4 linked regions of the Drosophila melanogaster genome follow. The protein of the gene in region 4 interacts with the protein of the main gene of each other region in a pairwise test. Each region holds a gene or a part of one and is shown on either strand. Other genes may lie near its edges.

What was found.
Region 1: the proteins of Elovl7 (region 4) and Tsf2 interact in a two-hybrid assay, tested with the Drosophila melanogaster proteins (one large-scale study listed by BioGRID).
Region 2: the proteins of Elovl7 (region 4) and Ote interact in a two-hybrid assay, tested with the Drosophila melanogaster proteins (one large-scale study listed by BioGRID).
Region 3: the proteins of Elovl7 (region 4) and CG34170 interact in a two-hybrid assay, tested with the Drosophila melanogaster proteins (one large-scale study listed by BioGRID).

What each region holds. Positions count from the first base shown.
Region 1 is NT_037436.4:12,529,421-12,536,424, forward strand, and holds Tsf2 (transferrin 2), read right to left. Parts: upstream 4,305-7,004; 5' UTR 4,193-4,304; coding exon 4,132-4,192; intron 4,059-4,131; coding exon 3,631-4,058; intron 3,552-3,630; coding exon 3,418-3,551; intron 3,353-3,417; coding exon 3,192-3,352; intron 3,133-3,191; coding exon 2,681-3,132; intron 2,618-2,680; coding exon 2,453-2,617; intron 2,387-2,452; coding exon 1,328-2,386; 3' UTR 1,016-1,327; downstream 1-1,015. Other genes in the region: nst (nesthocker), read right to left, coding at 515-615; CG34242 (uncharacterized protein), read left to right, coding at 4,647-4,823; Pmm2 (phosphomannomutase type 2), read left to right, coding at 5,235-5,999; CG4069 (uncharacterized protein), read right to left, coding at 6,092-6,780, 6,840-7,004. UniProt on the Drosophila melanogaster protein: Iron-binding protein and component of septate junctions that form the paracellular permeability barrier in epithelial tissues.
Region 2 is NT_033778.4:18,274,281-18,279,670, reverse strand, and holds Ote (otefin), read left to right. Parts: upstream 1-2,493; 5' UTR 2,494-2,591; coding exon 2,592-3,866; 3' UTR 3,867-4,064; downstream 4,065-5,390. Other genes in the region: pen-2 (presenilin enhancer), read right to left, coding at 1,602-1,741, 1,816-1,920, 1,990-2,050. UniProt on the Drosophila melanogaster protein: Inner nuclear membrane protein. Involved in the attachment of membrane vesicles to chromatin during nuclear assembly, and is probably required for centrosome maturation and cell cycle progression during mitosis.
Region 3 is NT_033779.5:17,310,096-17,314,108, forward strand, and holds CG34170 (uncharacterized protein), read right to left. Parts: upstream 1,726-4,013; 5' UTR 1,665-1,725; coding exon 1,476-1,664; 3' UTR 1,373-1,475; downstream 1-1,372.
Region 4 is NT_033777.3:7,992,044-7,998,338, forward strand, and holds the start of Elovl7 (ELOVL fatty acid elongase 7), read right to left. Parts: upstream 3,810-6,295; 5' UTR 3,380-3,809; coding exon 3,377-3,379; intron 1-3,376. UniProt on the Drosophila melanogaster protein: Catalyzes the first and rate-limiting reaction of the four reactions that constitute the long-chain fatty acids elongation cycle.

The sequences.
Region 1 (7,004 bases), on a different chromosome or scaffold from region 4:
CACTGTGTATTGCTCATTTTAGGCGTTGCAATTGCTTTTATCAGTAGGTGTGTCATGGAAACTTTGTTATCTGGCTGTAAAGTGGTTAGAAAATAAGGGCGCGGAAACCACAAACTATGTAATCAAATACTTAGTTGGTTCATTTTTCACAAATAACAAGTTATTAATCATTGAGATTTGAAAATATTGCAACTTGCACATGTGGCACTAGTTCGCTGCCCGCGACTGTGCGTCAGTATGTATGCACATATGCACATGCACGCACACTTACGCACATACAGGCAGACATAACGGCGAAAGAAGGGCATGTCCATTGATAAAAGGTGAACAATATCTAAAAATAAACGCCAAATTCCAACATCACAGCCCTGCAACCGCCCATTTATCAAAAAAAAAAAAAAACCACCAACAATCGCCGTGTGCTAATCAAATGCGCCAACGTGTGCATCGTGTGGGTGTGTTAGCATAATGATTATGATGATTATTAAGATCGTTAATGGAGGCAACTACTCACTTGCCGCGAAAGCCAGCTGTTCCATATTGGATGGTCTCCTTGGAGGTCTTTGGGTACATCTCGCGGGCGAAGGCGTAGACGGTGCGCAGGTTAATAGACATCTTGCGATACTCGAGGGCGGTGCCACTGGTCCAGAGCGAGGTGAAAGGTTCCGTCCGGTTTTTCCGGACTTTCGAAATTTAACAATTCCACAGATGTGTGCAGGCGGGTGTGACCGTCGTTTCGCGGCACTGTTCCACCCTTGCTTATGCGGCCAAGCGGTCACACTGCGCTGAAACTTGTAACTACGCTATTTTCTTTAATTTCAAACATTTTACTGGCTTTATAAACAATACAGAGTGTTTTAAGGTTAAATGCAATATTTACCAGCGTAAATTTCAATAACATCTATGTTTCAAAGCGATGTTAGCGCACATATTCAATTTGAATTTGGCGGCTACAATTGCGGTCAAGATATTAGGATTCTTCAAATGATACTAATTCAAAATAAGCAAAATAACTCCTTTATCTAGTTATTTTATTTGTATACTTACATAAGCGGTTGTAAAAGATTCGGCTTACATCTCCTAGGTACATTTTTTGGACGGTCTTAGTTGGTATGTACACAAACAAATACTATAATAAGGCACAGGACTTTATAAATTATAAACTATAGCCTTCAACAGATATTTTTCGGCTAGTTAGAGTTTCATTTTCGGACGGAAGGGATTTCACATTTAACTTAATCATATTTGGAATGTAAAAATGTTGATATGTTTTCTCTTTGTGCTAGAGATGCTTGTAGAATTCTGAAATCTAAGTGAGTCTAGTGGCTTAGAGCATTGCAACCAGCGAACCCACGAGGAGCAGGCCCACGGATAATGCCAACTGGGAGGCACCAGCATAGCAGTCGGTGATGCGGCGTGCTCGCATAAAATCGCTGCCCAAATAGGCATCATACCTGCGCTTATTGGGCGGAATTACTTGCAGCTGCCGCGTGGCGTCCTGGAAGATCAGATCATAGTGCCCGATCGGCGAGGAGAACATGCTGAAACTGAAGGCGTCCACTTCCTTGCGACCGTACAGTTGTTGGGCATAGGTCAGCAGATTGATGTAGGCATTCATCTGGGTCTCGTTGTAGTTGACTCCGCCGCGGGTGACCACAGCATTGGCCTTAACCTTGCCCAGATTGCAGCGCTTGTAGTCCTGGATCTCGGCACGAGTACCATCCGTGCAGAGCAGCTCAAAGTCATCGTTTAGGGCATTCCTGGCCCACCATTCCTTGCGTTTGCCGCCCGTGCTTTCCATCACCGTGGTGTGCTTCATGAAGGCCACGTGACCGCCGCCCTCGACGAGGCAACGGAATGCACCCGTGTGCCCGTAGTATTCCTCGGAGGCATCGCGACGACAATAGCGATAGCTAGTTCCATGACACAGATCGCACATGCTGTCGTAGGGCACACCGGTGTTGTACTCATTGCTAATGGCACCCGGCACGCACGACTTGGTGAAGTACTCCGCGGCAGCTCGAACCGAATCGCATCCGTAGGGACGAATCCAGCCGTTCGAGATGAAAAGCGCCATCGGATATGTCCAGCCAGCGGCGGTGTTAATGCCCGTATGGCAGGTATTCTTACCCTTCAGGTAAGTTAGCTCCGTATCGGGATCATCCTCCTTGGCCACGGCAACCACATAATACTCGGGCTCGCCCAGATTGTACACCTCCGACATGAAGGGCACCAGGTCGTAGTTGAGGCCACCAGTGTAGACATCGCCGGCATCGAAAACGGAGATGTCTGCTTTGCCCGCTTCGATGAACTGCATGCAGTTGATGTGGGAGTGCATTTTCTTGCAGATGAGTTCTGGTTTCAGGAGGTGAGCTTTCAAGGCAGTCTAAAAGTGTTTTTGTAAAGGATCATCAACTCATCTTGCTATCCATATATTCACTCTTCAACTCACCCTCATCTTGATGCATTTATCAAGCTCATTCTCCGAAGTCACGCAAAGCGTCATCGCTGGAACTGGACACTCACGGATGCCGTAGATAAAGTTAATGGCAGGGCCTAGGTACTTGGTAAATGACTGATCATCTTCGGGAATCACGGTTAGAGCGCGACTAGAATCCTGTCACAAAACAATTGAATGTTAAGTATGTATTTCGGATCACGGAAAATATGATCCACTTACCTGGAACAGCAAATTTGGCTTGCCATAGCGCTTCGACTCGAAGATGCGGAACTTCTCATAGAGTATGGAAGTGTTCGTGCCGTCCTGCTGGTTTCTTTCCTCTGCAAAACTGCTGTCCAATCGTTCGCTGCGATACTGATCGTATTGATTCTGCGTTCTGTACGGATCATTATTATCGAACTGGCCATAGGCATTCTGATCGTTGATGTTGTTGCGGCTGTTGAAGCTTTGTCCTCCCTGCCTGCTCTGATCATCACGTGTGCCATCGGAGTACAGCTCGGCAATGCGCTTCAAAAACTGCTGATACTGCTTGCGATCGCTGAAGCTGCGAGCCGAAGATGTGACAATGGCATCGGCGGGCACTTGGCCCCAATTACACTGGCGATAATCGTTGATGGAGGCACGACGACCATCACGACACAGCAGCTCAAAAGTGTCGGGTGCTATGTTCTCTAAAAAACGCAGCTTAGATCAGTAATGGGTTTTCAGAAGTTTCCCTTTGGTAACTCACTGAATTCGGTGGTTTGCAGCATTTCATTCACAGTCGAATGGCGCAAGAAGGCAACATCTCCTTTTTCAAGCAGACATTTGAAGGCGCCTTCGTAGCCGAAGTAGGGATCTGCAGATGAGCAGCGTCCTCCGGGTATCTTTCCAGTGCAAAGCGTACAAAGTCTGGTTTGAAAATTGATTTGTTGTTAGTTAATGTGTGTAAAATTGTGGCTTTTATGCGTCATTACTTATCGGAGTTGTCGCCAATTGGATTGTGTTTGTCGGAAAGCGAGTACACAGCACACGAATTATTGAAATAGCTGGCGGCCGTCTTCACCTGGTTGTTGCAGTCCACCACTTCCATGCCGCCCTCCCTTTGGAGCTGCAAAACGATAAAATTTGTTTGTTAGTTGCCTAATGAAACAAATAAACAATCAACTTAAAAGAGGAGTTCTACTCACCGTGTGAATGGGCACAATCCAACCGGCCAAGCTGCCCACCCAGGGGAAGCACACCCTCTTGTTGCGCATGTCGCGCAGATTGTTCAAGTCTGGTAGAGATCCCTTCTTGATCACGGCTACGGATTGATAGTCCGCAAAGCCGCCCTCCAGTTTCTCCTGCATAATGGGTATGAGGGAGTTGTACCGTCCAGCAGTGAAGACATCGCCCGCATCCAGCGTGGTGATGTGTGCCTTCTCGCGATCAATGTGATGGATGCACTCATCCGCACTGTAGGCCATGAAGCAGGTGAGATTGAGGAACACCTCGTCGAATAGTGCCCGATCCCGCTCGATGGCCACCGTAAGGTTCTGGCATTTGTACTGCTCCGCCTGGCTCTTGGTGCACCACACCATCCGTGTGGTCTTGTGCTCATCGTAGTGATGTTGTGCTGCAAAATCGTGGTTTTAACTCATGCCAACGCCCTAGAAATGGGCGACTTTCGTATTCCAGCCGCAACTTACCGTTAGCGAGCGTAAAACATAAGGCGCCGACTAGAGCCACAAAAACGAGGCTGCTAGCCATATTCGGGATATAAGAATATTAATAAGTGTATTAACTAAAAAGATCTATCTGCAAAAACAATTACTCAAACAAAACACCACACCCAAGCCCAGCTCAAGGAAGCCAGTGTAACCAGAGCGGGCAGAAATAGACATGATTTCAAAAAATACCAACAGGTACACACAGTGGAGAATGCTTAAGTGAGATATGAATCAAGAAACATATTTAGCATTCAGGATATTTCTAGTTTAATCTATACCTATATCTATTTTTATTATATATACAGTAATCTTGTTTATTTATATTTTACTTTCTATCAGGTTATCTCTTCTGTAGTATTTACTGCACTTCACCGGTGACCACAGTAGTGTGACCACACACTTGGCGTTTTCTAGCATCTTACGGTCAACCAGGTGTTTTGTGTTTTATAATAACAAACCGAAAAGTCAGCTAAAATATTCCATATTTTAGCTAAATGGCAGTCCTGCGTGGTTGGAGATTCGTTGGATTCGTGTCCTGCATCGTGGGCGCCGTGGGCCTCACCCTATACCCCGTCATTGTGGACCCCATGGTTAACACTGAGAAATACAAAACCCTGCAGGAATACAGCAAAATCAAGAGAGATGAACTGCAGCACATTAAAAGGCAGTAGAACCCCCTGTTATGCTACACTTAAGAACCCAAATATGTGTATTCTAGTTTGCCTGATAAAGAACTGCAATGTACAAATTGCTATTAAAATAGAAACTATTTGTACCCTGACAGCATGAACTCCATGAATTAAACTGTTACCTATACATGCAGGAAAATCCAAATGATTGTGCTTGAATGTTTATACTCTCATTGTTTTAAATAGTAAACCTAACGTAAAAGGCAATTCAAAACATTAATTTTGATTGCACTTGGATTCCGGAACTGGTTCCCCTTGCCGGTGCATCGAAAGCTTTAGGGGATTTCTCACCACTGCGTTGCCGCTTGTAAAATTCTTTATCTCGAATCATACGTGGACATAAATATCTGGATATTAAACACCTGCTGATTTACCACAAAATTTAAATGCAAAATGACCACCGCCGCATTGAAGCGTGATGAAATCCTGCTGCTCTTCGACGTGGACGGCACGTTAACGATGCCCAGATCCGTGGTCACTCCGGAGTTCGAGGAGTTCTTCTACTCGCGGGTTAAGCCGAGGGCGACCATCGGAATCGTCGGAGGCTCGGATCTGGAGAAGATGTTCGAGCAGCTGAATGGCAGGAAGATACTCAACGAGTTCGACTTCATATTCCCGGAAAATGGGCTGGTGCAGATTGAGGGCGGAAAGGAGGTGGGAAAGCAGAATATCATCATGCATTTGGGCGAGGAGACGGTGAAGCGTTTCATCAACTTTGTGCTGCGCTATCTGTCCGAACTGGATGTGCCCATCAAGAGGGGCACCTTTATCGAATTCCGGAATGGCATGATGAACGTTTGTCCCATTGGCAGGCAGTGCACTCGGGAGGAGCGCAACATGTTCGCCGAGTACGACATTGAGCACAAGGTGCGCGAGAAAATGATCAAGGACCTGAAGCAGGAGTTTGCCGATGTGGATCTCACGTACTCGATTGGTGGTCAGATCAGCTTCGATGTCTTCCCGCATGGTTGGGACAAGACCTACTGCCTGCGACACATCGAAGCGCACTACAAGTTCAAGGAAATCCACTTCTTTGGCGATAAAACGGAGCCGGGCGGCAATGACTATGAGATCTATAGCGATCCTCGAACCATCAGCCATAGGGTATATACTCCCAAGGATACGCAACGCATTCTCACCGAGATTCTGGAGCTGTGAGAATTTCGAGCTTACTCAGCAGTTGAAAATATTCCATTTTTATACATGTGTACAATTGTTAACCAAATTTAATATATAGTCACTGGAAATTCTTAATCCGTGTCCATGTCCGAGCTGCTGCTGGAGATATCCTCCTCGCTGCCACTGCACTCCTCGTCGGAGCTGCTGCTGTCGCTATCCTCCCATTCGTGGCCCTTCAAGCTATTGGGGATTAGCACCTTCCATTCCAGTTTGTGCAAGTCCAGGGCGTAGAAATCGTTGTAGGTCAACTGCTTGTCGTCCTCTTCGAAGATGCCACCGAAAATATACAGCGTTCCCTTGCACACGCACATGCCGGGATTCATGCGCGGAGATGGCACATTCGTCGGCTTGGGTTTGGCGAATAGGCTGGGTATTTTGGACACGAATGGCGTGGTACTGGTACTGGGACCGCCAACGGTGACCGTGAAAATGCCATCCGTGGTGGTGGTCACTGGCTTATCAACAGCCGACATCTCCACATCTTTGCTCTCCTCCGAATCCTTTTTCTCAGCGCTGCTGCTTTTAGTTTGGATCTCCTGCAATCTCCATGTTTGGGAGGTCAAATCGAAGGCCAGGAGATCATCGCCGAACTGTCCGTGCACATCTTCGTCGTCCTCATCGACGTCCATAACGCCACCGAAGGTATAGGCCTTGCCATTCGCAGCCACAGTGCAGCCGACGCTGCTACGCGGCTTGGGCTTATATCCACCTGGTTTCACGGGTGCCCACTTGTACTTGTTGTCTGCATCGCCGGCGTTTTCTGAACGGAAACAGGAGATATTAATATAAGTAATATAAATCAGAGATTCTAAATCTTACTATCTTGACTCAAGACAAACATATCCGTGTGTGTTACTCCTCTGTCCGCCTCCTTCTTCATGGCGGCCCTCGAGTAACCGCCCCACACGTAGATCTTTCCCTCCGGAGAAGCTGCAATACAGCAACCGGAACGTGGAGATGGCACAATTGCACCTCCTATCTCCG
Region 2 (5,390 bases), on a different chromosome or scaffold from region 4:
AGATATCTATATTTATATTTATATCATACGAGAGAGGCGTAATCCGAACATGAACAAACACAACCAACAAACAGATTACATGAAACATGCAAAAAATGAAAGGGAAAAAAACGAATCAAACTCGATACTGTAGTGTGTTGATTTCTTTGTAAAAAAAAATAAAAACTAAACGTACGAGAAATGAAATTAAGAAAAGATCGAAATGTATGAATATTGTTTAACTAAATGATTAAATTATGCAAGTAGAACGTACAAGATTAGCATTTAGCGTGTGTATTAATTATCCTTATCTGTGTTGCGGATGGAGCTGCGCGGGATTTGCATCTAAAAGACAAATTGGGCGCGCCGCCCATTCAATTCTTATAAATATAAATATATATTATGTGTATCTAAATCTATATCTGTGTGTGTACTACTCGTATCCGTAGTTTCTACTTTATAAGTTCTCCGTGAATGACTACGATGAATTTTTCGGCCAGCAGCCGCACATTAATTTTAATTGTTTCTAAGCATCAATTTGTACTTTAAATATTTATACGCATATGCTGCATATATGATATGATAACGATGGCGAGATATATATGTAATTAAAGGATTATCTATGTGAATGTGGGTGTGTAGTAATTCACTAGCCGCTTCATAGACTCTACACGCGTGATTTATGGCACTTAATGTTCTGTAGCCTAAGCCCAAAAAAAAAGAAAAACTGAATGAGAAAGCTCCCATCTGGCCCTCAAAAATCCCGCTTCCTATCCCAAATACACATTGATTCTTTAGAATTTATAAATAAAACAAGTATTGATTGTAAATATACCTTAAAGCGAGTCTTTTGTATTGTAAATTAGTTCCACTGATTGATTTGGTGGCCCTGCTTAGGTGCTTTGCCACCAAGTTCGTGTTATAAACATTAATACATAATATTGTAATTTACTATATGTGTTGGCAGCATTTGCTGTTAACCGCAAACGAAATGCAAGCGATTTACCGAATAATAGCAATTTGAATTATGTCTTCATGTGTAGATCGGCGAGTGTTTTCCTTACACTCATTTAGGAGTCGCTAGGTTTTTTGACATTCTTAATGCAATTTGTAATCAAATCGTAGGAGGCATTCGACTCACGGATACAAACACACAACATAACAAAACAATTAAATGGGATTTAACAAATTACCATAATGGCTTATGCAACGGTACAAGCAGAGTTTTATACAAATTATGTATTTTAGAGATGGATAAAGCGCATTGAATTGAATTCGAAACAATGAAATTGTATCTAAGCAAAGAATGTAATCCACAAAATGGCTAACTAAAGCTAAATCAAGCATTCAAATATGGGCGGACGAATATGAACAAAACACATAACTAGCGGCTAAGAAATTTCAACAAAATATAGTACACATATTTAAAGTATACAGAAAATTATAAAAAACAAAAACAGCTTTAGATGTGAATAAAAAATATGTAATTAAATCAAAACAGCACTTCTTTTGTTTGGGTCATATACGGGAACTTCTGATGGATTAATAATAAACGTTAATTTTGTTTAGGAATGAAGTCTTTTTTAATATCATTAGTTGCTAACGAATTAATCTAGTTATGTCTATGCACTGCCTAGGGGTATGATGAAGCTCATATAGTCCGCTGTGGCGCCCCAGGCTGTGCGATTTGTCTGGAATATTATTATCCAGGCAGTTAGTACTATCAGCCAGAATAGAGTCCCCACTGCAGAGTATATAACATCTGGAGGAAGGTAGGAAAGAAATTGTGGAATATTAGACTGTATGGCATGGGCATCTATTCATATATTGACTTACATCTCTTTATTTGGCTCTGCTCCGAAAATGGTGGCTTATGGAAGGCCTCCGTGAAAAACCAGCAAACGTTAATGGCCCACACAAAGGGCAGAAATGCAAAGCCAGCTAAGTTCGAGACAAATAGAAAGTAACTTGGTTAAAATCCAATCATTACTCATTGGTAGTAACTCTTACCAAAGAAGTATTTGCGACACAGCTCCAGTTTTCGCGGATTTGGTGCCTTTGAGATGTCCATGATTAATCCTCTTCAAATATGTGGGTGTTTGCTCCTTTGTTTTCGAATCTGTTTCCGGCCCAGGAAAGTTTTTTCGTACTTATATGTAAATTGTATGTAATATGTAAATTGTAATAGCTTATATTTTCACTTCAATTTTTGCTTTTGTTGATTTGTGTTTTAGTTTTTAGTCCATTGGAGCGCAATCGATATCGATAAGTTATCGAAACAGAGGTGAGCTAAACTGCGACTCTTGGATCACTGTTTCATTTGCCAATATCTAACGTAAATAACGATATAATAATATAGCATAGATGTTTTATTACGTTTGCACGATTTTGCGATGTGTGCGATGATTAGTATGAAACATCATTCCTTGTGTTCCCTTTTTTTAAAACGCCAAAACTGTTACAAGTCAAGCCCACTTCAGTGTTGTATATCCCCTAAAACAGAATCATCGATAGGTAATACTGCTGCCATCACTATTTTAGCACACACCGCGTAAAAGCGACGCCGATTTCAATTTTCAACGAATTATTAAAAGTGTGCGAAAAACCATACAATGGCCGATGTGGACGATTTTGATTCTCTGTCCAATGCTGAGTTGCGCGCCAAGATGCTGGCACAGGGGCTGCCCAACATCCCCGTGACGGATAGCAGCCGGAAGGTTCTAGTAAAGCGTCTGCGCGCCTCCATTGGTGGCCAGGCGTCGCCGGCCGCTAGTCCCAAGAAGACCAACAGGCGGGAGACCCTGGCTCCCGCACCTGGTGCACCATCTGCTCCGGCGGCAGCCTCCACGCCGGTGGACAAGCTGGATGGCAACAAGGTGGCGCCCGCCACAAAGGCTCGGCGCACAATTACCGCTGCAGAGGCCAAGGAACCAGTGCGTCGATTACCCGAGGAAGCTATACGCCGACGCCCCGACGAAGCCGACCGCCTACGATCCGAGGAGCCCGTTGCCGCCAGGAAGCCAACAACTGCTCCTGCTGCTCAACCCGTACAGACCCGGCGCACTTCCACCTCCTCGGGGTCTGAAAGGAAAGTAGTGGAGCCCTTGAGGAAGCCAGAAACCATTGTTGAGCAACCGGCTTCCTCGAAGCGCGCTGATCGAGAGGAGAATTATCTTAAGGTCAACTCCCTGATTGTCCTAGAGTCCGATGAAGAAGAGGACGAGCAGCTAGTCCAGGCTGCAGATCTGGTGGAGCAGGAGCACGCGGCCAGACAGAAGACCACGAAGCTCGCAAGCAGCGGCACCACTACGTACGAGTACAAAAGCAAGGTTGTGGAGCCTCCACGCCGACAGGTCTATGAAGCGACAGCAGCTCCCGTGCTGCCGCCATCTGTGCCATCTGCCAGAGCGCAGACCACCAGTTCCACCAGGTCCTATGACTATGCGAGCAACCCAGCACCCGGTCGCTATAGCAGTTTTGTGCGTACTGCAGCCCAAGGCTATGTGACTGCAGAGGCTCCGCCGGTGGCCTCCTACTCATCCAGCTACAAGCGTACCTATGCTAACGAGCTGAGCGACGACACTGATTCCAAGGAAGACCAGTACGAAAGCACATTTGCCAGGAATCTAGCTCGTTTGCGAGCCGAACGGATTGGAGATCGCATCAGCCCGTATTCCAGACGCACTCTGGCCAGTGGAAACGCGGGTAGCGGTTCTCTCGGCTATGAGCCGCGTGCCAGGCGCTCCTTGCGCCCGAATGATAACAGCGTATCCGAGGCCTTTAACCGTTGGTTGAACAGCCTGGAGCAGAAGTATCACATCAAGTCGAAGCTGTTCATTGTACTCCTCGTCCTTTTGTTAATCGGCGTTTATTACATATTCTACTGACCGGCGCATCATTGTTCTTATTTCGAATTTGTAATCTAGTTTGTATACCATGTTGGATATGTTTTGTAAACAAGACTGCCGCCGCGGTCTTTGTATGAATCTTGTTTTGATGTAACTTGAGCTTGAGTTTGACTAGCATTTAAGCTGCGTGTTATCCGTGTTCAAATAAAGCCCACTTGCAGGGAATCTCCACAGTTGAACACTTGCTCTGATGTTTTTTCTCCAAACGGCTTTCGATTCACTGCGCTCCACTTGTGGCAGGTGTTTGCCCAGATTGGATCAAGAAACAGCAGCAAACGACGATCGGCTAATGATGGAAAAGTATCTGGAATGCGTGTACAACACTTGTCGGCATGACTCTGACCAAATGTAGGCGCAATGGCAACCAGGCAAGCGCAGCTCTTATCTGAGCTAAATTGTTCCTGCTGCGATCTGATCTGCGATCCTTGCAATGCCTTGCAATCAGAATTAATAAGAATTTTACAAGTCGGCTCGGCGGCCGGTGTGCGTTATTTTAAAATCCTTGCCCGAGTTGGGCTGTTTAATTTTATTAACTGGAAATCGCACTTGCGCGTATTTCTTTATTTTCTTAAGGAAATTTCGCGCCATATTTAGCGGTAACAAGCGCGACCGGATCCGGGTCTGACTTGCATGCCAGCAATAAGTTATGAAAATTGCAACATCAGTGGCTCGGGGGAAATGCCAGTTGTGCTGGGGATGTTGCTGCCACGGCTGCCACGGCCGCCACGACCGCCAGTCGCCGCCGATGATGAATTCCACAAATGCATGGAACAGCCAGGCGGCAGATTCCTTGAAAAACAAAGCCATGGCCCATACAATATATCGTGTGGCTAATAAATACGCCGCGCATTGCTAGTTGCTCTTAATGAAATTAACTTCCAGGAATTACCTACATGGCAGCAACGATGCAGACGACAACCACGATCACTTTGACGACTGTCCCGAAGTGCAACAAAGCAACTGCAACAGTCGCAGCAACAGTCGCAGCAATTCGAAAAGGCAACAATGGCTGCTTAGGCAAATGCAACAAGCCATCGGCCATGGAAATTAAATGGAAGCCTGCAAAAAGTTTCACGCACTCGACACGTTAATAGAGTCGTAGCACCCAGAGCAACATCAGGTCCACCAGCTGCAGCAGCAGCAGCAGCAAAACCACCAGCACCAACACCCAACACCAGAACCCCGCAGGAACATCAGCGCCCAAGAGCAACACACCCGCGTCCCAGCAGCTTCCCATCTTCGGTTGCCGCCGCTCAAGTGTGACATTCATGGAATATGATTTTATGGCCAAAACCGAAACTTTTGTCTGCATCACGTTCGCGGCTGGAGGGAAAACAAGGAGTGGGCTAGTAAAACAGCCGGATGGTGGACTATGAAGGTGGCGGTGGTGACTCGACTGCCTGGCTGCTGGGCCAATGACTTCCTCGTTGTGAGCCAATTAAAGACGCTGGTCGTTGTGGTCGCTGCTGAAATCATTTGTAATGCAACGTTTGGAATAATTCA
Region 3 (4,013 bases), on a different chromosome or scaffold from region 4:
TTTAATTCTTTAAAAGAGTTTTTAATTAAAAGTCACCGCTTATTAAAGAAGTGTGCCTAAATATTTTTCATCACGATTTACTGTTTCATATTTACTGTTTCAAATATACCTAAACGTAATTTGTTAATCACTTAACAAACGAGTGGTATTTTAACCCAAACGCTTCGGTGCAATATGACATTTCTGGCGGGCATCACTTAATCCCCACTGAACATCCCCTGAATTTCCGCCCACCACCCACTTTTTGGCTTTGTGCTTTGCAAATATTTGTTTATGCATCGCTACCTTGACTTCGCTTTTCCCACTCCGCTACATATGTATGCATTTTCCTCCGTACAGTTGTGCATGAAATGTTTAAATACGTTGAGTCCCTAAATCAGGTCACAAATATAAAACATTAGATTACGAATGGGATTTTACAACTGGAAGTTAAATCCCTAAAATAATTCAAATTATAAATAAATTGATGGTTAAAGCGCATCTTCTTATTACATACTAATTGAACTATAATTATATAGTATAATTGTTATAATTTTATAACAAATACTTTAATTTTAGGCCGTGCTGTACTTGTTTGTCATAATCAAATACACTTCCACGTTGGCAAAGGGAGGACCATAAAAGTTAAGTAAATATATAAACACGATTCGGTTTACGCCTGCCTGCCCGTCAGCCTCTTTATTATTGTTGGTTGTTGAATGTTGTTGCTGGTGATGTTATTGATATACGTGAACATATATATATATATATATATATATCAATATATCAATACATATCTGTGCCGCACACACGTAAATCAAAATGTTTGTAAGTTGAGTAAACAACATTGGAAATCAGTTATGTTGTACTGCATTATAAACTACCCAATAAATGACCCCCGTGACTTTTAACGCCAGTGCACTTTGTCTGTAGATTCGAAAAACGTGAATTTCCATTTTCTTTTTTATGCGCTGAACTTTTTTTGTAATTTTTACGATAAATTGCGCGTGAATGATGCATAAATCAAACGAAGTTGAGGCATTTTATATACGAGAGTGTATATGAGCTCTGTCAAATGTATCGACCGAGTAAAAATTTACATAGCATCCGTTTTGGGTCCATCAAGCAGTGATAAATATGTAGGTGCATGGTAATAAGAGCCGGCAGAAAAATATGCACATGCATTTTTAACAACGATTTAAGGATGAATTTCATGAAAATCGAGCTTGATGAATAAAAATATCAATTTGGATTGACGGAATTACGGGATTTCATTTGAGAGACAACTCAAAGAGCTTTGTATGTGAAGGAGAGCTCATAAAGAATATATAACACGCTAATGAATGCATTACACAACTTTTTTTTTGGATCCAACTTTAATCTTTAATGGAATAAAAGGGTTTTTTTTAACAAAATCAAAAGATTTATGTGTACTTTTTTTTAAATTACTTTTTATTTATGACACATTTATGTAGAATTGTCCACATTTAGGGGGATTATGACGTCGGATCTATTCGCTCCCGATTTATATGAAAGTAGGCGAGAAAAATTATGAAGACGGCCAATCCGACGAGTCCGCACCAGAAGCCAAAGGATCCGCAATTGAATCCATCCCGGTATACCTCGCAAATGTCCCCGCCAACAATCAGATTCAGCTTATCCTTAACGCCAGGTGATCCAGCCATGGAATATTTTTCCGGCTCCCCAAATTTAAGCCACAAATTTTGAAGTTTTTCTAAAGGCCGAGAGTAATGTGTGGGCCACAGGCTCCTGGGATTAGGATTCGTGTACGCCGTGCCTCATCGGAAAAGTACGCTAACAATGATGAATCATCATGGAGGGCAACAGGATATGCCTGCAACGTAATTGAATTTAGTGCTAATGATGGCATTGACGATAGCACATAATATTCGGCATTAATTCAAGCAGACATTAATTGATTGATTATTTGATTGCATTATTGTCAATATCACAATTGCAATTTGGTCGCTCCGCTTCAACGGGTCGTCCTGTGTATCTGTATCCTGGGTGTCCGTCGAGCGCGACACATTCGCGAAATTGAATGTTTGTCATCAGGCCAACAACATTGATAATAATAATTTAGCACAATTTACACGATGACAGCCATAATTAATCGATGCAATCGTGCCTTCAAATAGCAGTTGAAACGGGGCTTATTATGGGCACTGGAAATAAAAACGAACTGGTGTATATACTTAAATTGTTTGCATAAAAAACAACAAAAATTTACATTTAACGTAATATTTCGGGAAATTATAAAAGAGCTTCTCAAAATAATTATTTTAGTTACCATTGTATTCGCAGGACACCGCAAATTGTTTGTAATAAAGATTTCACCTGAAGTCCATTCATTTTCATGTTAATTCACTGGCCTTCCTGTAGCAGGTGAATATTTGACTTAAGAGCCGGATAAAACTTGCGTTTTGCTAAAGAAAAGACGAGGGAAATATTTAATTTACATTTAACTTTCTGCCGCCCCTTTCCACTCAGCAATTATGTGGCCCGAGGAGATTCTAAGCGAAATTTTGTGCGCCCTGCAATTATACAAAAATTCTTCTTGGTCTCGTTTCTTTCTCGTATTGCATTATTCATGGGCAGGGGCTAAGCAAATTAAAAGCCAGCTTCCCAGCCCAGCTGGCCAAATAATTGTTTGAAGTTCGCTCTTGGCCTGGCCTGTAATCTGCCGCAGTTTTGGCCACTAATTTCGCCCTGAGACAAAACCGCCTACCGAAAAGAGTACTCCGCAAGCACTAAGCTCAATTGAAATTGCTTCTGGGATAGGGAGGCAAGAAGGAAGACTGCTCGAAATGCCGTAGAGTAATTGAAATATTGGCAGCGAGCTCAACTCGTAAATTATGCACTCGAATCCAAGCATAAAAAAAAAAAAAAAACGAGGGAATACTCACAACAGTTCGCTGTGTAAACTAAAGATAGGGAAAGAGCCAACTTTCCTGAGATTCCCTTTAATTTATAATTTATCAGTTTTGTGCTTTTGAAGCTGTTTTTGGCTGCCCAACAAGAAAACTTTGATTGCGGTAATTAGCAAATTGTGCAACTCTCTCAAGGTCCACTCCCCCTTTTACCTCTTCTACCTGGAAGGCAACAAAATGGTGGTACAAAGTTTGAGTGAAAATGTATATGTTAAACTGCATTACAACATTTAATTAAATATTTAACTAAAAGGGGCAAGTTGTTGGAAATTTTGTATGCGTAAAAGTGTGCTACGAATTACAACAATTACATTTACAAAACCTTTGTAATTGACTTTTTATCAATGCTTTACATATCCCATATATTATAAGCAAACTAGCTTCTTAAACTACCTTTTTATTTTCAGTTGTGTAGTGGGAGTTCAACTAAAGTTGTGTGAAAAGGGTAAGCCGGGTAAACCAATTTGCTCAGGGTCCCTAACATATCTGCCAGAATATATGTATATCGCACAATGAAATTGCCTATGTGGCAATATAGTTTCCTGCCATATATGTATGTAGCTACTGCAGCAGGGAACATCAATTTTGTTTCCCTCCGCCCGGCTTTTATTATTGTTACTTCGAGGCTGCCACAATCCGATGCCCAACCCCTGCTGCGTTTTTGCCAGGTAAAAACCTAAGCTAAGCAAACATACAAAAAAGTGTTAGTATGCTCAACGCGACTTTCGCCACCACATAACCACATACCCCACCCAGTCCCATCGTTCTGGCCATCACAAAATGTCCTTTTAGCAAAGGACATATACACACATGCGTATGTAAAAATTTTCGACGTGATGTAAATTTCTATTGAATGCTGAATGGGCAGAAAAAATAGCTTTAATGGTCTTTTGGCCAGCCAAAGCGAATAGGAGATCCGGCATATAGGATCCCGGACAAAAGACCAGGAACCGAGGGCCATCAGAATGGTCGACATTTGAATGAATTGTCGTTGAAATCGGTTGACCAGGTGATACCGTGCGGTTGGGCACCCAATACTGTTCTACATATGCCAACTGTTTGACTGCCTGATTATTTGCTGAA
Region 4 (6,295 bases):
ACAAAAAACAATCAAGATAACTCTTTATGAATGCATACATTTTAAATAAAACACAATTTGTTTAATATTTAAAATATTACAATGAATGAAGATCAATCTGGTCAACAGTCAAGTTAACTGATTATGTATCAATATTAATTAACTAATATACATTTTATTTGGGCGTGTTTCGTCATCTGAATGATTTGATTATGCAAATAAAGTATTGAATAGATTTAATTTTCCACATTATTCACTAACTATTTAGGTCAGTCAGAAATATGGTAATATGAAGAAGTTTCAATAGGTTTTGGAAAATTCGAAACCTTTGAGCATTTTTATTTTTTGGTTAATAAGATTATATGATTACCAATTTCTTTCAGTGCAAAGCAGTTTTTGCAGCAACTAAAAACTCAGCCAGTAGTCAAGTGCACAGCTGCAAATACTCAACAGGTTGGCTAAATGTGCGTAAGTGTAAGTGAGTTCCCCAAATACCATTTGAAAGCCTCAATTCGGGGGATATATTTTAGCTGATTCATTCTACATTGCGTTTGTCAGGCCGCCAATGTTGATTTTTTCGTGAACGTTTATGTTAGACGATTGCATTAAAAATGGTTCCATACCATTTGGATTCAGGCATTCAGGCATAATATGCAATTCGAATTGGGAATGTCGAACTTTGGTTTTCGTCCCTGCTGCCATTTCCCAGCCTAAAGTTCTCTGCCCCCAAGCCCGTAAATCACTAGCCACACAATTAAACAAGCAATGACTTTTAGCTCCTCAATCACTTTACATTCGCGTATTTATCAGGTTGTTTCTGTCCACTAATTTAAATTTTGCTTTAGCCCCACAATGTTGATGTTGATTTAATTATTTTGTGTTCGGATTAAATGTGTCGAAAATATATTACTGCAAATGCGTTCGTTGCTTTAAAATGGAATTTATTTGTAATTTATTGTTGTACGACAAGGAAATTATTTAGAAAATATTATTAAACATTTTTAAAATACTTAAAAACAAAATCGAACAACTTTAGCACCTAAGTCCCATCTAAATTCGCACTAATGGAAATATGTTTAATCACGAATTCGGTATGACAGCATGGCCCACTAAATAATTTAATTTATACAAATAAATTCATCCAACCGACCCAGTTTAAAGCGACAAATATGTATAAATTAATTGTTTTTTCGGGAACGAAGAGTTTGTATAAAATTGCAAAAAAAAAAAGGCACTCAAAGAGCTGTAAAATATGCAAGCCAGCGTGTTTGAATAATAATTTAAAAGCTGTTATTTTTAGTGTTTTTAACACCTTTACTGGCATAACTTTTCTGTCTAATCTCCAACGAGCAATAATTGAATTTCAAATGACACTTACTTCAATCACGGGCCGATAAGAGTCCATAAATGTAATCATTTTCAGGTACTCTCCGTTTAATGGTCTCTTTACGTTTATCTACCTCGAATTCCTCTCTTCGCTTGCGTTATCAGTTTTTAAGTGTTAATTTGCTCGGGAATATACACAGCCAGTAAAAAAATTGCTGAGAGACACGCACTTTTTTTATGTAGAACAATAAACCTTTGCCCAAATGGCATATTCGCAATTGAAGTGAACGAAGACTAGCTAGCTACTGAGAAAATCGCGCATACGCCGTGTGGAGCCAAACAAATCGAAATGGAGCAGCGAATGCACTGCGATTTCAGTCACATGCGGCAAGCGTTATCTCACACACACACACACACACACACACACACACACTAAGTACTAAGAGGGCACTCTGCCTATGGTTTTGTGTTTACTATATGCTCTCTACATGATTCTCTTACCAAAAAACAGCTGAGTGCCGAGCGGCAGTCAACAATAAAGCGACGTCAATGCGTCTGAGACTGGCTCTCCAATGTAGCTAACTGGCCCACAGGGAATGCAAGCAAATCGGCTGATTAAGGCACATTTTTTTTTATTATGATCACTTGGCGGGGGCTGCGCAGTTTGGCAGCTGGGTGGCAGTGGCTCTGGCTCCAACAAGCAGCCTCAAACAACCCAGACCCGATAGCCCATAGCCGCCCATAGCCAACTGGCAACTAGTAAAATTCGCCGCCAGCGCCTTTGCACTTTTCAGTGTCAAAAGAGGCAACACAAAAATGCGGCAAAAGTCCCAGTCGAAAATAAAATCGAGGTGTAATAATCATTGTGTAAGAGGCCAAAAGGAGAAGAAAACAACTCGAAGATTTGAATAAGTTTCGATTTCTGGGTTGCCTGCTTATTTTTTTTTTTCTTTTTTTTTTTTTTTTGTGAAATGGTGCAATGCCAGTGATCATTAGCCAGCGGTAGTAGCGGCGGCGATTGGTTAACCCACTGGGGTTTTTTCTCTCGAATTTGCAGAGCTGCTGAATGAATATGAAAATCACTGGATTTCTACACAGCAGCAGCATCTGCAATGATGGGCCGAAAGCATAAGTAAGGTGGACGGGACAAATGAGTCGGCCTGGCCCTGACTGGCTATCATTTCACCTGCGCTCCGATCGCCAGTTATCCCATATCCCCGGCCGAGATTCAAGGTCAGCGATGCACTGCATTTCCGTGTGAAATGTTGTCATGCCAGTGAGCTGGTGAGCTGGTGAGCTGGTGAGCTGGTGAGCTGGTGGGCTAGTGAGCTGGTCAAAGCCAAAAGCCAGCCTTCACTTCACTTGACCGCCAGCCAGTGATGTTGCTGGTGTAAGTGCTGCTGCTGCAACTGCGGACATAACACAGCGACAGCTTCGAAATAAGTGCAGCACTTGCAGTTTCTGTATGCACTTTTGGCGGAGCTCGAAAGCGAATGGCTCTAGCAAAACAGAACAGAGCAAAACGCTCATGTTTTGTGGCAGAAAGCGGGGGAAAAGTGGGCGAAAAGCGTGGAAAGGTCTGCGCGGAGTCGGCAAAAATGCATTTGGGAAAAAACAGTGGAAAACCTTGCTAGCGAATGTGTACTTGAAAACGAAAACCAGTTGCTGGCGTGCGGTTTTTTTCCATTTCCAAAGAAAACGAATAAGAACCAGGAATGGCTGGTGCTCGAGAGGTTTTCTCGATTAATAATTTGCTCAATTAATTTTAACGGCTGCATTGCGGATATTCATTATAGGAGCTTTATTTATTTTTTTTTTTATTATTAATTTCTTGCTTAATAGCAGCAGCAGCACACACGAGTCGTGTGCAAAGGGTCATTTGTGGGTTGTGGGATTTAACGGAAAGCCCAAGTCAACGTACGATCATGTATATTTATTTATTCAGGCTTGCATGTTGGGGGTCGGCATCGAAATTACTGGTTGCAAAGGCATTTTAATAAAGGAGGTTTCAGTGGCATCAATTTTCCGTTGAGTCACACTGGGTGTTCGGTCGGGAACCCCCGCTACTTACCATTGTGCTAAAATTCGCTTCAACAGGTACTAAATGCGCGTTTATATTCCGTTTGTTACAAGGAAGCGTACTGTATTTATTTATTTTTTCTTTTTTTTTTTTTTGACTAATTTACAGAGATTCTCTCGACTTTGGTATACGAATTATCACTTTTTAGCGCACTATCCTTGTTCGTTTCGTTTCGTTTTTTTTTTTCGTTTTTCTTGCTTGTAGGTTTTTAGTTATTGTTTTACACACGCACACACTGTTTGACCATCGTTATACGGTTTTATGGTTTCTACATCACTGTTGCGGGGAACTGCTGCTGATGCTACTGCTGATGCGACCGATCTGCCGCTGCTGCTGCTCCGCTGGACTTTACTGGACAACAACTGGACAGCGACTGGGCGAGCGTGCGCTTTTTACATTCAAATCAAAAACACTGAAATAAGTTTGATTTCACGCTGCCGCTTTACTTTTATACCGCCTCGCAGTCGTAGGAGCGGACTTGGCGCAGACGTCGACGCAGATCGTCGGCGCCGCCGACCGCTCATTTTCGGCGAGCGTGGCGATGGCGCTGGCGTTGAGGTGAGCCGAAGTCGAAAGCTTCGGTCGCTAGCCACAGGTTCTGAGCAACAGGTTGTCGATGTGTGCTCTCGCTCTGACAGCCGAAGCGATCGGGTCGGGCGTCAGGATGCCAGAGCGAGAGCGAGATCGGCCAGCGGCCCTTTGGAATCGAATTCTTGGTATCCACCAGTGGGGGTATCACCCGCCTTTGCACCCACACCCAAGTGCGGCGCTAATTGCCGCCAATCCAAATATCGGAGCGGTACTTTTGCCGCGTCTTGGCAGCGCGCATGATTGCACAGTTCAAAGTTCGGCAAGAATGTCCGTTAATTAACCCCTGCCCAGGCCCGGCCCTTCATATCGGAAAAGTGTGCAAAAATTAACGTAGCCACAAATCAAATCAAATCAAATCAAATCACGGCGAGGGAGAGCGGCGGAAAGGTTGCCAGCAACAAAGCCCAATCTTTGGATACGTATGCGGTAAAAAGCAGAAGAAGATGGGGCTGACCAAACCAGTTTGCCTCTTGGGCTCTTAAATATTTATAATGACCAATACTTGGCTTTCCTCCGTTTGCCTTCGTGATGGCCAATAAATGGCCAAAATGCGCCGTGAACTTCTGAAACATACAAATTCCCGAATGGGAAAAGCGGCTACCGAGACCTGGATGTTGCAGGCAACCTGGCGGATACTTAATATTTCGGAGGACCCGACGCTTACTTGTTATTTGTGCAAGCTTGAAACGTTACGTAGTCGATTTTTGTGAGCTAAGCAATTAGATCGAACTTTGACAGCGGCTTGGTTGACGATTTACTTACCCTCAATTAACGACCCTTCAACTACCTTTATTCTAATTTACCTGCTAAAAATCTCACCATTACCCTGCACTTTTGATGCGTTTTTCGACAAAAAACCCAAGCAATGCAACAAAGCAAACATTTGCATTTTTCGTCTCAAAGTCCGCTGCATGGCCGCCGAGCACAAGATCTTTTTGCGGAATTCTAACCGAATAACACGTAACTGACCATGTAATCTAGCCGCGCCAAATTTACATGTGCAAACAGTCGGCGGGGGAGACGATGAATATGTATAGACATGTCGCCCTAAGCTGATCCCATCTCACAGATCCGAAACACGCGTCTGCCATATTGGGGGAAGTATGAATACGATCGATTCAAGGGCTTTCTAGTGGCTGTATGACTAGAGGAAAAGCTCACGATGAATTGACCATGCTAGATCAGAATGATCCTCCTTATATGGACAGAGATGGCAGGTAATATTTCCGCTTGCTCTGAAATTTTCCATTTGATCATCAGAATTTAGACTGCGACTGTACTCACCAGACATGGATATGTTTTTCCCAGTTAGAATGCACTTCACTAGTCCTTTAACTAATGCCGCGCACGACAATATATTGTAACACAAGTTTTAGGTGCCGGCAAGCCACGCCTAGTTGTAAAATTTATGTGAACAAAAAATCAAAATAAATAAGCACTTTATACCCAGAGATTCAACCTTGAGCATTTGCAGAAAATTTACATACAAATCGAAATGTTAAAGCAATCTGAAAAATATTCATAATCTAATTAAATTCATTAACGAAAGTGCACCAGTTCACCATTTGAGTTCAGTGTGTTAATTTCTCAATGCGATTGCATAATCGCAAAGTTGAAGGAACTTGGCCGCGACTTCCGATCGATTTGATATACTCCGTTTATCCACCTTTGCCGACCATCGATCCAACCGCAATAAACGGGGACCTAATGACCGGAACCATCAGGTTATTCAGAGCTCATTCCCTGGCGGAGTACAATGACTTTTTTCCGAGATGCTTCTCATCGTTAGTCTGGCTTTTGGTTTTTGGCGAGCACATGCGGCGTATACTTAATAGCGCAACCTTCGGCCCAGAAATATCGACTTCAATTCAAGTCTCAATCGGACGAGCCGCGCCAGATGACGATCGTAATGATGCCACGCAGATGAACCACGACCAATTTTGGTGGTGGTGTGGTGGGTGTCGATCGCCGGCCAAAGCCATTGTTTATTGGGCCAAGCTTAGGAGAGTTTTTGTGACTCGGATCCAGCTCTTTGTGGCGCTTGTTTATTTTTGGACTCTCGTTAGTATTATTGGCCTTATCCGCACTTGGCAATAATAAAAAACCAGAGTTCAAGGTTGCAAATCTCGTAAAATCACCCTAGCGATTATATAGCAAGGCAGTAGAATTTACATCGGACTGGTGCTAATGAGCATATTGGTAGAAGGCAACTGGTATTATCATCTGGGAAAAGCTGCAATTGGTTGGACTGCACCTCCCTGCAGTTGTGCAACCGAAGATGATTGATGCGTTGATTTCGCGATGCCGGAGTCTCAAAAG